Linked DNA regions of Schizosaccharomyces pombe. The main gene of each other region encodes a partner of the protein of the gene in region 2 in a complex. Each region holds a gene or a part of one and is shown on either strand. Other genes may lie near its edges. The genes, in order: pst2 and prw1. A codon is read from its position in the direction of its gene.

Region 1 (6,397 bases), 3.0 Mb from region 2:
TAATTCGTTGTATCTGATTACGAATAATAATAGTCACTTTTACGATATCAATTATTATCAGATAAATATTTTCGATCGCAAAATTTGATCTTCTAACTATTTTGACTAATTTGTGCGTTTATTCTTAACACCGAATTGAAAGAAAATTTCAAAAGGTAGTCTTTGTTAGTTCCTTTTGTGGTAAACGCGATTAGTGGCCAGTCACTTACAAAACTTTGTTAAAGCAGACTAATAGTAGTCAACGTGTGATTTTATTTTTTCTTCACCGCTTACTTCTCAAAAGCCTCCTTTTTAATTTACTATCAAAAACGGCAGTTTTGGCAGTTTTTTGAAGGTTTATTGGTTTAATTAATTTATTCTGTAAAAACAAGGAAAGCAAAATTACAGATATTTGATTCTTTAGATTTTCTTAAACCCTCTCGCATCTTCGTCTTATTTTGGCTTTTTTTTTTGTTAAATATAGCAAGTTTGCGCCTCTTTTATTTAAATTCATTTTTAAAAAGCCACCTTTCATTCTAAATTTACCTTATTCCTTTTTCTCCCTGTGAAATTCAACCCTTACCATTTTTTTGAAATTGGTGACTTTTCGTTTTCAAACTATGTTCGACCTCGCAAGACAAACTCGGATTATCCTTTTATTAGGTATTGATGTTACTTTTTTCTTCATCGAAATTATTACTGGTTATGCGATCGATTCACTTGCCCTAATTGCTGATTCATTTCATATGTTAAATGACATTGTCAGTTTACTGGTCGCTCTCTGGGCTACTCGTCTAGCACATTCAACATCTCACGAACCAAAATACACATATGGCTGGCAACGTGCAGAGATTTTAGGTGCTTTGTCGAACGGTGTATTTCTCATTGCCCTTTGCATGTTCATTTTTATGGAAGCCATAGAGCGCTTCATTGAGCCTCCTTCTGTCAGCAATCCCACCCTTATGTTCTTTGTTGGTTCTTTAGGTCTGCTAAGCAATTTCGTTGGTATCTTTTTATTTCATGACCATGGTCATGATCATCCTCACACCCATACCGCTCAAAATTACGATTTTCCTGAAGAAGATGATATTGAATCCGTTTTACCTTCGACTATCGTTCATCGTTGTAATACCAGTCAACAAGAAGTCAGCCATACACACACTCAAGTCGCAGACTCTGCTACCGAATCTTCTCCTTTATTGAGTTACACTGGTAATCATAATGGTGCTGGTACTTCAAAGCCAGTCAACAACCATGGCAGTATTGAACAAGATGCACCAAAACAAACGAAGAAACGAAATTTGAATATGCATGGTGTCTTTCTTCATGTCTTGGGTGATGCTCTCGGTAATATTGGTGTTATTAGTGCTGCTTTATTCATCAAGTATACTGACTATTCTTGGCGTTTCCTCTTTGACCCATGCATTAGTATCCTTCTTACTTTCATTATTCTTTTTAGCGCAATTCCTCTCTGTAAATCCGCTGCTCTCATCTTATTACAAGTTGCTCCTCAAAGCATCAAACTGGATGATGTTTCCAACCTAATTAATCATCTAGACGGCGTGGAATCTGTTCATGAACTCCACATCTGGCAGCTTTCGGACGTTAAATTAATTGCCACTGTTCATGTCTGCGTTACACTTCCTGATGATAAGGGAGAGTCTTATACAAAGCTTACTACGGATATCCGTAATGTCCTTCAATCTTTTGGTATATATGATGTTACCATTCAACCAGAATTCGCCAATCATCCGCTTTTATGTGACCAAGGTTCCTCGTCTTAGTTTGCGAACATTATAAATTTAACGTGGTTAATCTATTGTGTCACATCTTTTGATTTATTCTTGAGGTAAAATTTTATATTGAATGTTTACTTTGTTTCATTTTTAAAGCGTAATTTCTTCTGCCATTCCTGTTCGTATTTAAAAACTTTATTTCACCATCTTGGTTGTTTGTTTTGCGAATGCACTTAAGTAAAGTAGTCGACAACTTAACTTTGAAAGTAGATAGTTTTCGATTTCTTATTCTTGATGAAGACGATGCATAGTTTCGGTTTTATTAAATCTCTATTATTCTTAGAAAATAATGTTTAGATGTAGTGTTTAATTATTTAAAAGGAATATTTTTTAACAATTATATTGGGTTTGATTCTTCTCGTTAGTATTTTTTCTAAAGTATTCGTTGTAAGTGTAAAACACCATCCAATGTGGTATTTGTGTTCATGTCTTGATAAATCATTTGAACTTTGGCTATCAGCGTCAGTTCATGTAATGCGTTGACGAGTTTGTGCGCTTAGTTGCATTTGCCGTTTCCCAAATCATCACCTCCAAAATAAACGAGATCGTATTCCTAGTCATTTGATGGTTAAAGATCAAAATACATGGAACAAACACTAGCGATATTAAAAAATGGTACGTATCAATTTAATACATAACTCATTTTAACCAATGTTGTTAGACAACTCAACGTTAGTGGCCGAGATGCAGAATCAATTAGTCCATGATTTTTCCCCTAATGGTACCGCACTCCCCGAGCTTGATATAAAGGCATTCGTTCAAAAGTTGGGTCAAAGACTGTGTCATCGTCCTTATGTTTATAGCGCTTTCATGGATGTTGTGAAGGCTTTACACAATGAAATGTATATATGGCTTATTTACTGAGTTGCTTTGAGATAGCTCTTTTTTTATTACTATTCACTTATTAACATGAACATTAGTGTCGATTTTCCCGGGTTTATTGAAAGAATATCTGTAATCTTAAGAGATTACCCAGATCTTTTAGAATATTTGAACATCTTTTTGCCCTCGTCTTATAAATACCTTTTATCGAATAGCGGTGCCAACTTCACATTGCAATTTACCACCCCATCTGGTCCAGTTTCTACACCGTCTACTTATGTAGCTACTTACAACGACTTACCTTGTACCTATCATAGAGCTATAGGATTTGTTTCACGAGTTCGACGAGCATTATTGAGCAATCCCGAACAGTTCTTTAAATTACAGGATAGTCTTCGTAAGTTTAAAAACTCTGAGTGTTCGCTTTCTGAGCTTCAGACTATTGTAACGTCTTTGCTAGCGGAGCATCCATCTTTAGCCCACGAGTTTCACAACTTTTTACCAAGCTCCATCTTTTTTGGGAGTAAACCTCCTCTAGGATCGTTTCCATTAAGAGGAATTCAGAGTTCCCAATTTACGTTGAGTAATATTTCTGATTTGCTTAGTCAATCAAGGCCGGACAACCTCTCACCATTTTCACATTTATCAAATGAGAGCAGTGACTTTTTCAAAAATGTGAAAAATGTACTTACCGATGTAGAAACTTACCACGAATTTTTAAAACTCCTGAATTTGTACGTTCAAGGGATAATTGATAGAAATATTCTGGTGAGTCGTGGGTTTGGGTTTCTTAAATCGAATTCGGGACTTTGGAGAAGCTTTTTAAGCCTTACTAGTTTGAGTCCGGAAGAGTTTTTATCTGTATACAATTCCGCTTGCTCAGACTTCCCGGAATGTGGCCCGAGTTACCGATTGCTTCCTGTCGAAGAACGCAATATTTCTTGCAGCGGTAGAGATGATTTTGCATGGGGTATACTTAATGATGACTGGGTCAGTCATCCAACTTGGGCATCTGAAGAAAGCGGTTTCATTGTTCAGAGGAAAACGCCTTATGAAGAGGCAATGACAAAGTTGGAAGAGGAACGTTATGAATTTGATCGGCATATTGAAGCTACTTCCTGGACAATCAAGTCTCTTAAAAAAATTCAGAACCGTATAAATGAATTGCCGGAAGAGGAAAGAGAAACATATACTCTCGAGGAAGGGCTAGGTTTACCATCAAAAAGTATATACAAGAAAACTATTAAGCTTGTTTATACCAGTGAGCATGCAGAGGAAATGTTTAAGGCCTTGGAAAGAATGCCTTGCCTCACATTACCATTGGTAATCAGCAGATTAGAAGAAAAAAACGAAGAGTGGAAGTCTGTTAAAAGAAGTCTTCAACCTGGATGGCGAAGTATTGAGTTTAAAAATTACGATAAGAGCTTAGATTCACAATGCGTTTATTTTAAGGCAAGAGATAAGAAGAATGTATCTTCAAAGTTTCTCTTAGCAGAAGCCGACATTCTACGATCGCAAGCGAAGCTCCATTTTCCTTTGCGAAGTAGATCAGCTTTCGAATTTTCTTTTGTATATGACAACGAAATAGTACTTTTTGATACTTGTTATATGGTATGCACATACATTGTATGTAACTCTCCCTCTGGTTTAAAGAAAGTTGAGCATTTTTTCAAGAATATATTGCCTTTACATTTTGGTCTTGAAAAGGATAAATTTTCGATATTCCTGGATCAAGTTTTTCGTGGTCCTGATTACGATGTGAATGCCCCGAATATAGTTGGTAACAAGCCTGTACGTCGGAAAAGATCTAATTCTATAACCCAGTTGACGGAATTTGTAAAACAACCTAAAATCAATGGTCAACGCGAAAGTCGTTCAGCTGCAGCTGCTCGCAAAAAAGAAGAATCCGGTAACAAATCACAATCTAACTCTCAAAACTCTTTAAGTGATGAATCTGGAAACGTAACGCCGGTTTCTAAGAAACAGCTTTCACAACCTGCTGCAGCCATTAAAGCCAGTCTCAAATATCCAAGTCATCCAGATAGTCTTTTGGAACATCAAGATCATGCTGGTGATACGGAGAATGAAATGCATGACGACGTCGATAAAGAACAGTTTGGATATTCTTCTATGTACGTATTTTTTAGACTTTTTAACTTATTATACGAAAGGCTTTATGAGCTTCAGCGTTTGGAGGATCAAGTGTCCATTATCCAACAGCGTATAATACCAAACCCAGTATCTCAAAAACAAAAGATTTGGCGCGATAGGTGGAATGATCTTTCAGATGTCCCTGATGAAAAAACTCATTACGAAAATACTTATGTGATGATTCTTCGATTAATATATGGGATAGTTGATCAAAGTGCCTTCGAGGACTATCTGCGGTTTTATTATGGCAATAAAGCCTATAAAATATATACTATTGATAAACTCGTTTGGTCTGCTGCTAAACAAGTCCACCACATCGTTTCCGATGGAAAATACAAATTCGTTACTAGTTTAGTCGAACAAAATAGTTCTGCTTCGCCTAAGAAGAATTATGATGACTTTCTTTATCGCTTGGAAATTGAAAAGCTTTTGAATCCTGATGAAATTTTGTTTCGATTTTGTTGGATAAACAAATTTAAATCATTTGGAATCAAAATAATGAAGCGAGCGAATCTTATTGTGGATCAAAGTTTGGATACACAGAGACGAGTTTGGAAAAAATATGTTCAAAATTATCGTATACAAAAACTTACTGAAGAAATATCTTATAAAAATTATCGTTGTCCCTTTCTTTGCAGAAATATAGAGAAAGAAAGAACAGTTGAGCAATTGGTTTCACGCCTTCAAACAAAGTTATTAAGATCTGCAGAATTGGTTTCCGGATTGCAAGCAAAATTATGTTTAGACTCGTTTAAATTGCTCTACTTACCACGCACAGAAGATTCTTACATAGATGCATCTTACCTGCGCCTTAGAGATACCGACTTCCTTGATTGCCAGAATAAAAGAAAACAGCGTTGGAGAAATCGATGGGAATCGTTATTAAAATCGGTTAGGGGAACTTCTGACAACACGGCAGAGGTGAATTTTGATGCTGACATTAATGCACTATTTATCCCATAATGATTTTAATGCAGTCGACCTACCTATTGATCATATTTACTTAAATACAATTTGACTTTAATAGTTTTATATTACTTTGTTAACATAACTTATCTTTCTAGGTATTTTATAATTTCAAGGATTTATGTATAGTACGAATTTACTGAAATTTTTGCACATAAGCTTTGTATTAAATTTTCTAAAGCCGTACTTCTGTAATTACTACATAAAATATTACAATGCACAGATTTTTATTTACAAACAAGCGGTTGTCGTAGCAACCACTTTGTTTACCCTCAAAAGTTACCACCTGCGTTTTGTTAGAAACAAATACCAAATGGCGAGTGTTGCAATTAAAGAGCCCAAAACTGCTATAACCCCGAAGAAGAAGTCCAAAGCCTCTCGTCTTTGCTTTACTCCGCCAACTAATCTTCATAATAATAAAAAAAATATATTCTACACTCGCTACGATTGCATTGGTGAAGGCGGCTTTGCGAGATGTTTTCGAGTCAAAGATAATTATGGAAATATTTACGCTGCTAAAGTTATTGCTAAAAGGTCACTACAAAATGATAAAACAAAGCTGAAGCTCTTTGGAGAAATAAAGGTGCACCAATCCATGAGTCATCCAAACATCGTAGGATTTATAGATTGTTTTGAAGATTCGACGAATATTTACTTAATTTTGGAGCTTTGTGAACATAAAT
Region 2 (4,196 bases):
GGTGTTGTGTGCTATAGTCCAGTTTTCTGGTGTCTTCTTTCTCTATTTAAAAAATTATAACTTTAACGATAACCAATTTTTGTTTATGGATCTGTTAATCATATTTCCACTGTCAGCAGCTATGAGTTACTTCGACCCTGCTCAAAATTTGACAAGCAATCGCCCTAATTCAACATTGTTTGGCAAAGGAAGAGTAAAGGATTTAGGAATTCAATCAGTATTAATATGGCTATCCCATGGCTTGCTGACTTTAATACTACACGAGTTGAACTGGGTTGAATTACCTGAATGGCAACTTGAAAAATCAAATACGAAAAACGTGCTAGTGACTAGCATATTTCTTTTAAGTTCTTTACAATATTTAGGAATTTGTATTGGAATAAACCAAAGTTCCGAGTTTTTGTCACCTATTTGGAAAAAAAGTAAGTGAAAATCCTGTCTTTTGTTTATTAACATCTTATGATATAGAAACTTATGTATGTTTGTGTACTACCATTGGCCTTTGCAATATCTATCTATGTTTTGCAAATGAAAATCACATTATCTCTAGGTGTTTGCAAATCACACGTCTACCGACACTGTATCGTTTCATAATACTTTTTATGGGAGTTATCTCGTGCTGCCTTACGAGTATTCTGAACATGTAAAAAAAACAAAATTAAATATATATATGTTAATCAAAAACTTGCTTTTATGTGCAATTAGGGTAGAAAAAAAAAGGAGTTAAAGAGAGAAACAGGTTTGGGACATTAAGTAAAATATCAATGAATGTTGTATACGACCGGTTAACTTAAATATGCCGTAGCATCTTCCTCTAATTGTTCATTACCCCAAATTGAGCGAGAAGGTGTCCAAATTTGAAGAATATTATCTTCAGCAGCGGTTGCCATTGTCCAATTATAATTAGGACACCAATCCATGTCAATTGTACAAGAAGTATGGCCTCCGTGCATAAAAAGAAGCTCCGGAGGACCGTCTTGAGCTTCCTCAGCAGGCTGATCTTCCCCGATTCTTGAAAGATCCCAAACTAAGGTCCTTCTATCGGCTGAGGTAGAAGCAAGAATAGGCTCTTCATGAGGAGAAAAGCTAATTTTTGTTACAATGTCTTCATGTCCTTCTAATGTATGTAAGCGTTGATTAAGGTTCCGTAAATCCCAAAGTGCAATGGTTTTGTCAGTCGAACAAGTAGCCAAAATAAAGTCGTTATGAGGGTTGAAAGCAACAGAATGAATAGGACCGCTATGGGCATGCACACTTCGAGCTGGCTTTGTGGAAGCATCAGGGCGACGAATATCATGAACATGAAGGTACTGATCATAGGAAACTGAAGCAAGAAGATCCTGGTGCTTATAATGAAAGCGTACATCACTGACCTGTTTTTCATGGCTGCTTATATGCACTTTCAAAACTGACGCTGAATCTGACTCGTTGTAAGCATTCAAATCCCAACAAGAAAGAGTAGCGTCTTGCGATCCAGAAACCAAAGTACCCTTAGAAAGAAAATTCCAACAAACACTAGTACAGGGCTGGGTATGTTTGGTCAATCTATATTTGGGCTTAAGAGGAGACTCACTAGCCGAGCTATAAGATTCGAAGGATTCCTTGTCAAAAACCAACACATCATTATGATAGTTACCCACCGTAGCTACACAAGAATCGTCTTGTGGCATAAGCTTCGCACTACAAACAGACTCAGGATGAGAATAAAGATTTGAGATATTAACACGTAGAGAAGACTCGTCACCCGCAGATGCTCCCTCCATTGTAGTAGGAGGAACAGTCTGATTTAAATAGGGTAATTGAATAGACGCAACAGCTAGTAAGTATTTGCCAACATCAGCACGAACTCCCAGAAACATTTTCTGCTCAGTATATCCATGTTCTGCAAAACTATAACAAAAAATAATGGTAAGTTTTTTGAGTCACATAAACAAGATTAAACATTATGATTCAAATGATTGACTTACATTTGCTGCTCTGGATACCATTGTAGTGACATACAAGGCCATTCCAAAGCTCTAGTAATTATTAAATCGTAAAGGAACGGTGAGTTCTTTTTCCAAATTTTATACTCTGTTTCAGATTAGAAACACATTTTACATTGATCAACTAGAAATTGTATGTTAAAACGTTGCAGACATACCTTCATTGATGCATTTTTCTTGATTTATTCCCTCCTCCGAAGCCTGCGCTTGCTTGGAAGGATGGGGAACAGCTGATACAGCCATTATGTTCTAGTTAAAATGATTGAATCTGCTTTTTGGTGGATGGTGAGTAGACGCGTGCAGCGCTAATGTGCACACTAAGTGTTCTTAAATAGGTGCAGGTTGGTTTATAAATTAAGATTGTTTAGGTTTTATATAATCACAGCCGTATAGATGTTTAAATGGGAAAAAACAATAGAAACTTAATCTTGTCTCATGCTTCGGCTAGCGTCTTTTCATCTTCTCTCTCGACCTGAGATGCGTTTCCACAGTGCTAGAAATTGCAACTTTTAAAGAGACTGTTAATTGTAAAAAGTTGAATTACTAAAAATGATTATGTTTGCTGAACATATGTATACAGAAGTGAGATATAATTTGGGTAGCACAAGCTTCCCGATGGACTGCTATAAGACACAAGATGGAAAGATAAATTTATAGAGCTGAGAGTTAAGAATCTTTAATTTAGATGAGTTTTTTTTTACTTTGCTTTCATGCTAATTTCATCTACTCTAACTTCTGCATGAATCAGTGCGTCAAGAACAGAAACACTTTGAAGCTTTTTTTTAGTCACACAAGGCAACAACCGCTTGAGAAGCAGGATTATTAAAATTGGTAAAAAAATTATGTTCCTCTTAGTTTTAAGGTACATTCAACTTGTGTATCGCCAATAGCAAAACGCAGCCAAAATTTCTGAAGTTCTCCTTTTTTTGAATATTCAATTGAGCGTGAATAAAAAGTATATGATTTAAAATAATGATCTCCCACCTGTTCTGCAATCCTTGGAAAATGCATCAAGTCATACTGAAAACCAAACGAGCAAGAAGCCGAATTCAAGATGCCCTCGTATTCTTGCGTACCCTTAGTAAAAGAAATGAGAAATATATTTAATTTAATTGTTAAAATGAAGACAATCCCGTTTCAATATGTATGCCGTTCTTTACATCAAGAAAAAAGAACTTCGAAGCAAGTCATACCAAACTAAAAGATCGTTGATCTTAAAAAGGAACATTATTAATTTTAGAAACGATGATGAAGAAGCACAAAATTACCTTTCACTTAAATACTTCGTACACAATACATTTGTTTACATCTTTCTCTTATAATAAATCTACCTTAAGACACACACTTTCTCAGTAAGCTGATTAAGAAAAAGCAACGAAGATACTTTATCCATCTTTTATTTACATCTTCGAGACATGACGTTTCGTAATAATTCCCACCTTTAGACTAAACCGTTTCCACCAAATTTGTACCTTTTCTATTATTTTTCTTTATTTTTTACTCTCACATAATGAATTGTTTACTTCTAGGAAGAGGATTCTTGCACAGGTTTCACCCATTTCGCCCAGTCTTGTGTGAAGATTCGGCAAGTGCTGCAACTACTATCACCTCTCAATTTAAGCTGAATTACCGTCAAATCTTTATTGGAAGCTCTCTTGGTTTAGCAGCCGGATTTGCTTTAGGAAAATTGGGCCGTTTATTCATCGTTGCCTGCTCCGCCGTTTTCGCTACCATTGCTGTAAGTGCTTAAGTTTGATTCTTTATTTATATTTAGAGGTTTTAAAAACCTTGTGTTTCGCACTGAAAATCGTATTTATCTTTCATAATACTAACACAATACGTTTATTAGTATATTAACAGTAAAGGTCTGATCCGAATTAATTGGCCCCAGCTGCAGCAACAAGTTATAGGTCCTACGGAGCAGTATACTGGATTTCATTTCCCAAGTTCAGGTAGGTTTAATACTCAATCAACATTTCCTACCATTCGTAATTGGATCTGTACAAACCCCAATTTCAAGCTGAGCTTCTTTTCAGCTATGTATGTTGGATTTGTGTCATCATAAAAGTGGCTGAATTTCACCACAACACATTTCGATTTTGATACATTGTTCAGCCCTCGCACTCCTCTCAATTCCTATGATTCCTTTGAACCCCAACGTTCGTTCTATACTACCAATAGTGAAACATTTTGCTCACGCTCCTGTTCAGA

The links.
Region 1: the proteins of prw1 (region 2) and pst2 are in contact, whole or in part, in a cryo-EM structure (PDB 8I02), measured with the Schizosaccharomyces pombe proteins. Residues at the interface, in NP_594864.1 of Schizosaccharomyces pombe: Glu23 (codon at 2,162), Lys24 (codon at 2,159), Cys25 (codon at 2,156), Asn27 (codon at 2,150), Glu29 (codon at 2,144), Tyr30 (codon at 2,071), Ile32 (codon at 2,065), Trp33 (codon at 2,062), Lys34 (codon at 2,059), Lys35 (codon at 2,056), Asn36 (codon at 2,053), Pro38 (codon at 2,047), Phe39 (codon at 2,044), Leu40 (codon at 2,041), Tyr41 (codon at 2,038), Asp42 (codon at 2,035), Leu43 (codon at 2,032), Ile44 (codon at 2,029), Ile45 (codon at 2,026), Thr46 (codon at 2,023), Arg47 (codon at 2,020), Ala48 (codon at 2,017), Leu49 (codon at 2,014), Glu50 (codon at 2,011), Pro96 (codon at 1,796), Leu98 (codon at 1,790), Leu118 (codon at 1,730), Arg119 (codon at 1,727), Val120 (codon at 1,724), Asn293 (codon at 1,205); in NP_593646.1 of Schizosaccharomyces pombe: Phe889 (codon at 5,148), Arg892 (codon at 5,157), Leu893 (codon at 5,160), Glu896 (codon at 5,169), Lys897 (codon at 5,172), Tyr958 (codon at 5,355), Asn960 (codon at 5,361), Tyr961 (codon at 5,364), Arg962 (codon at 5,367), Cys963 (codon at 5,370), Pro964 (codon at 5,373), Phe965 (codon at 5,376), Leu966 (codon at 5,379), Cys967 (codon at 5,382), Arg968 (codon at 5,385), Asn969 (codon at 5,388), Ile970 (codon at 5,391), Glu971 (codon at 5,394), Lys972 (codon at 5,397), Leu979 (codon at 5,418), Leu983 (codon at 5,430), Lys986 (codon at 5,439), Leu987 (codon at 5,442), Glu992 (codon at 5,457), Leu997 (codon at 5,472), Phe1006 (codon at 5,499), Lys1007 (codon at 5,502), Leu1008 (codon at 5,505), Tyr1010 (codon at 5,511), Leu1011 (codon at 5,514).

What each region holds. Positions count from the first base shown.
Region 1 is NC_003424.3:2,158,213-2,164,609, forward strand, and holds pst2 (Clr6 histone deacetylase complex subunit Pst2), read left to right. Parts: upstream 1-2,273; 5' UTR 2,274-2,359; coding exon 2,360-2,390; exon of another isoform or gene 2,391-2,436; coding exon 2,437-2,617; exon of another isoform or gene 2,618-2,695; coding exon 2,696-5,711; 3' UTR 5,712-5,866; downstream 5,867-6,397. Other genes in the region: ER zinc importer, CDF family, Zhf1, read left to right, coding at 600-1,763; Polo kinase Plo1, read left to right, coding at 6,028-6,397. UniProt on the Schizosaccharomyces pombe protein: Has a role in chromatin assembly and chromosome segregation. Involved in the deacetylation of histones.
Region 2 is NC_003424.3:5,109,647-5,113,842, forward strand, and holds prw1 (histone chaperone, Clr6 and Rpd3L complex subunit Prw1), read right to left. Parts: upstream 2,237-4,196; 5' UTR 2,229-2,236; coding exon 2,144-2,228; exon of another isoform or gene 2,074-2,143; coding exon 1,968-2,073; exon of another isoform or gene 1,891-1,967; coding exon 786-1,890; 3' UTR 648-785; downstream 1-647. Other genes in the region: Ca(2+)/Mn(2+)-transporting P-type ATPase P5 type Cta5, read left to right, coding at 1-422, 469-647; fun14 (integral mitochondrial outer membrane (MOM) protein), read left to right, coding at 3,496-3,723, 3,835-4,050. UniProt on the Schizosaccharomyces pombe protein: Has a role in chromatin assembly and chromosome segregation. Involved in the deacetylation of histones.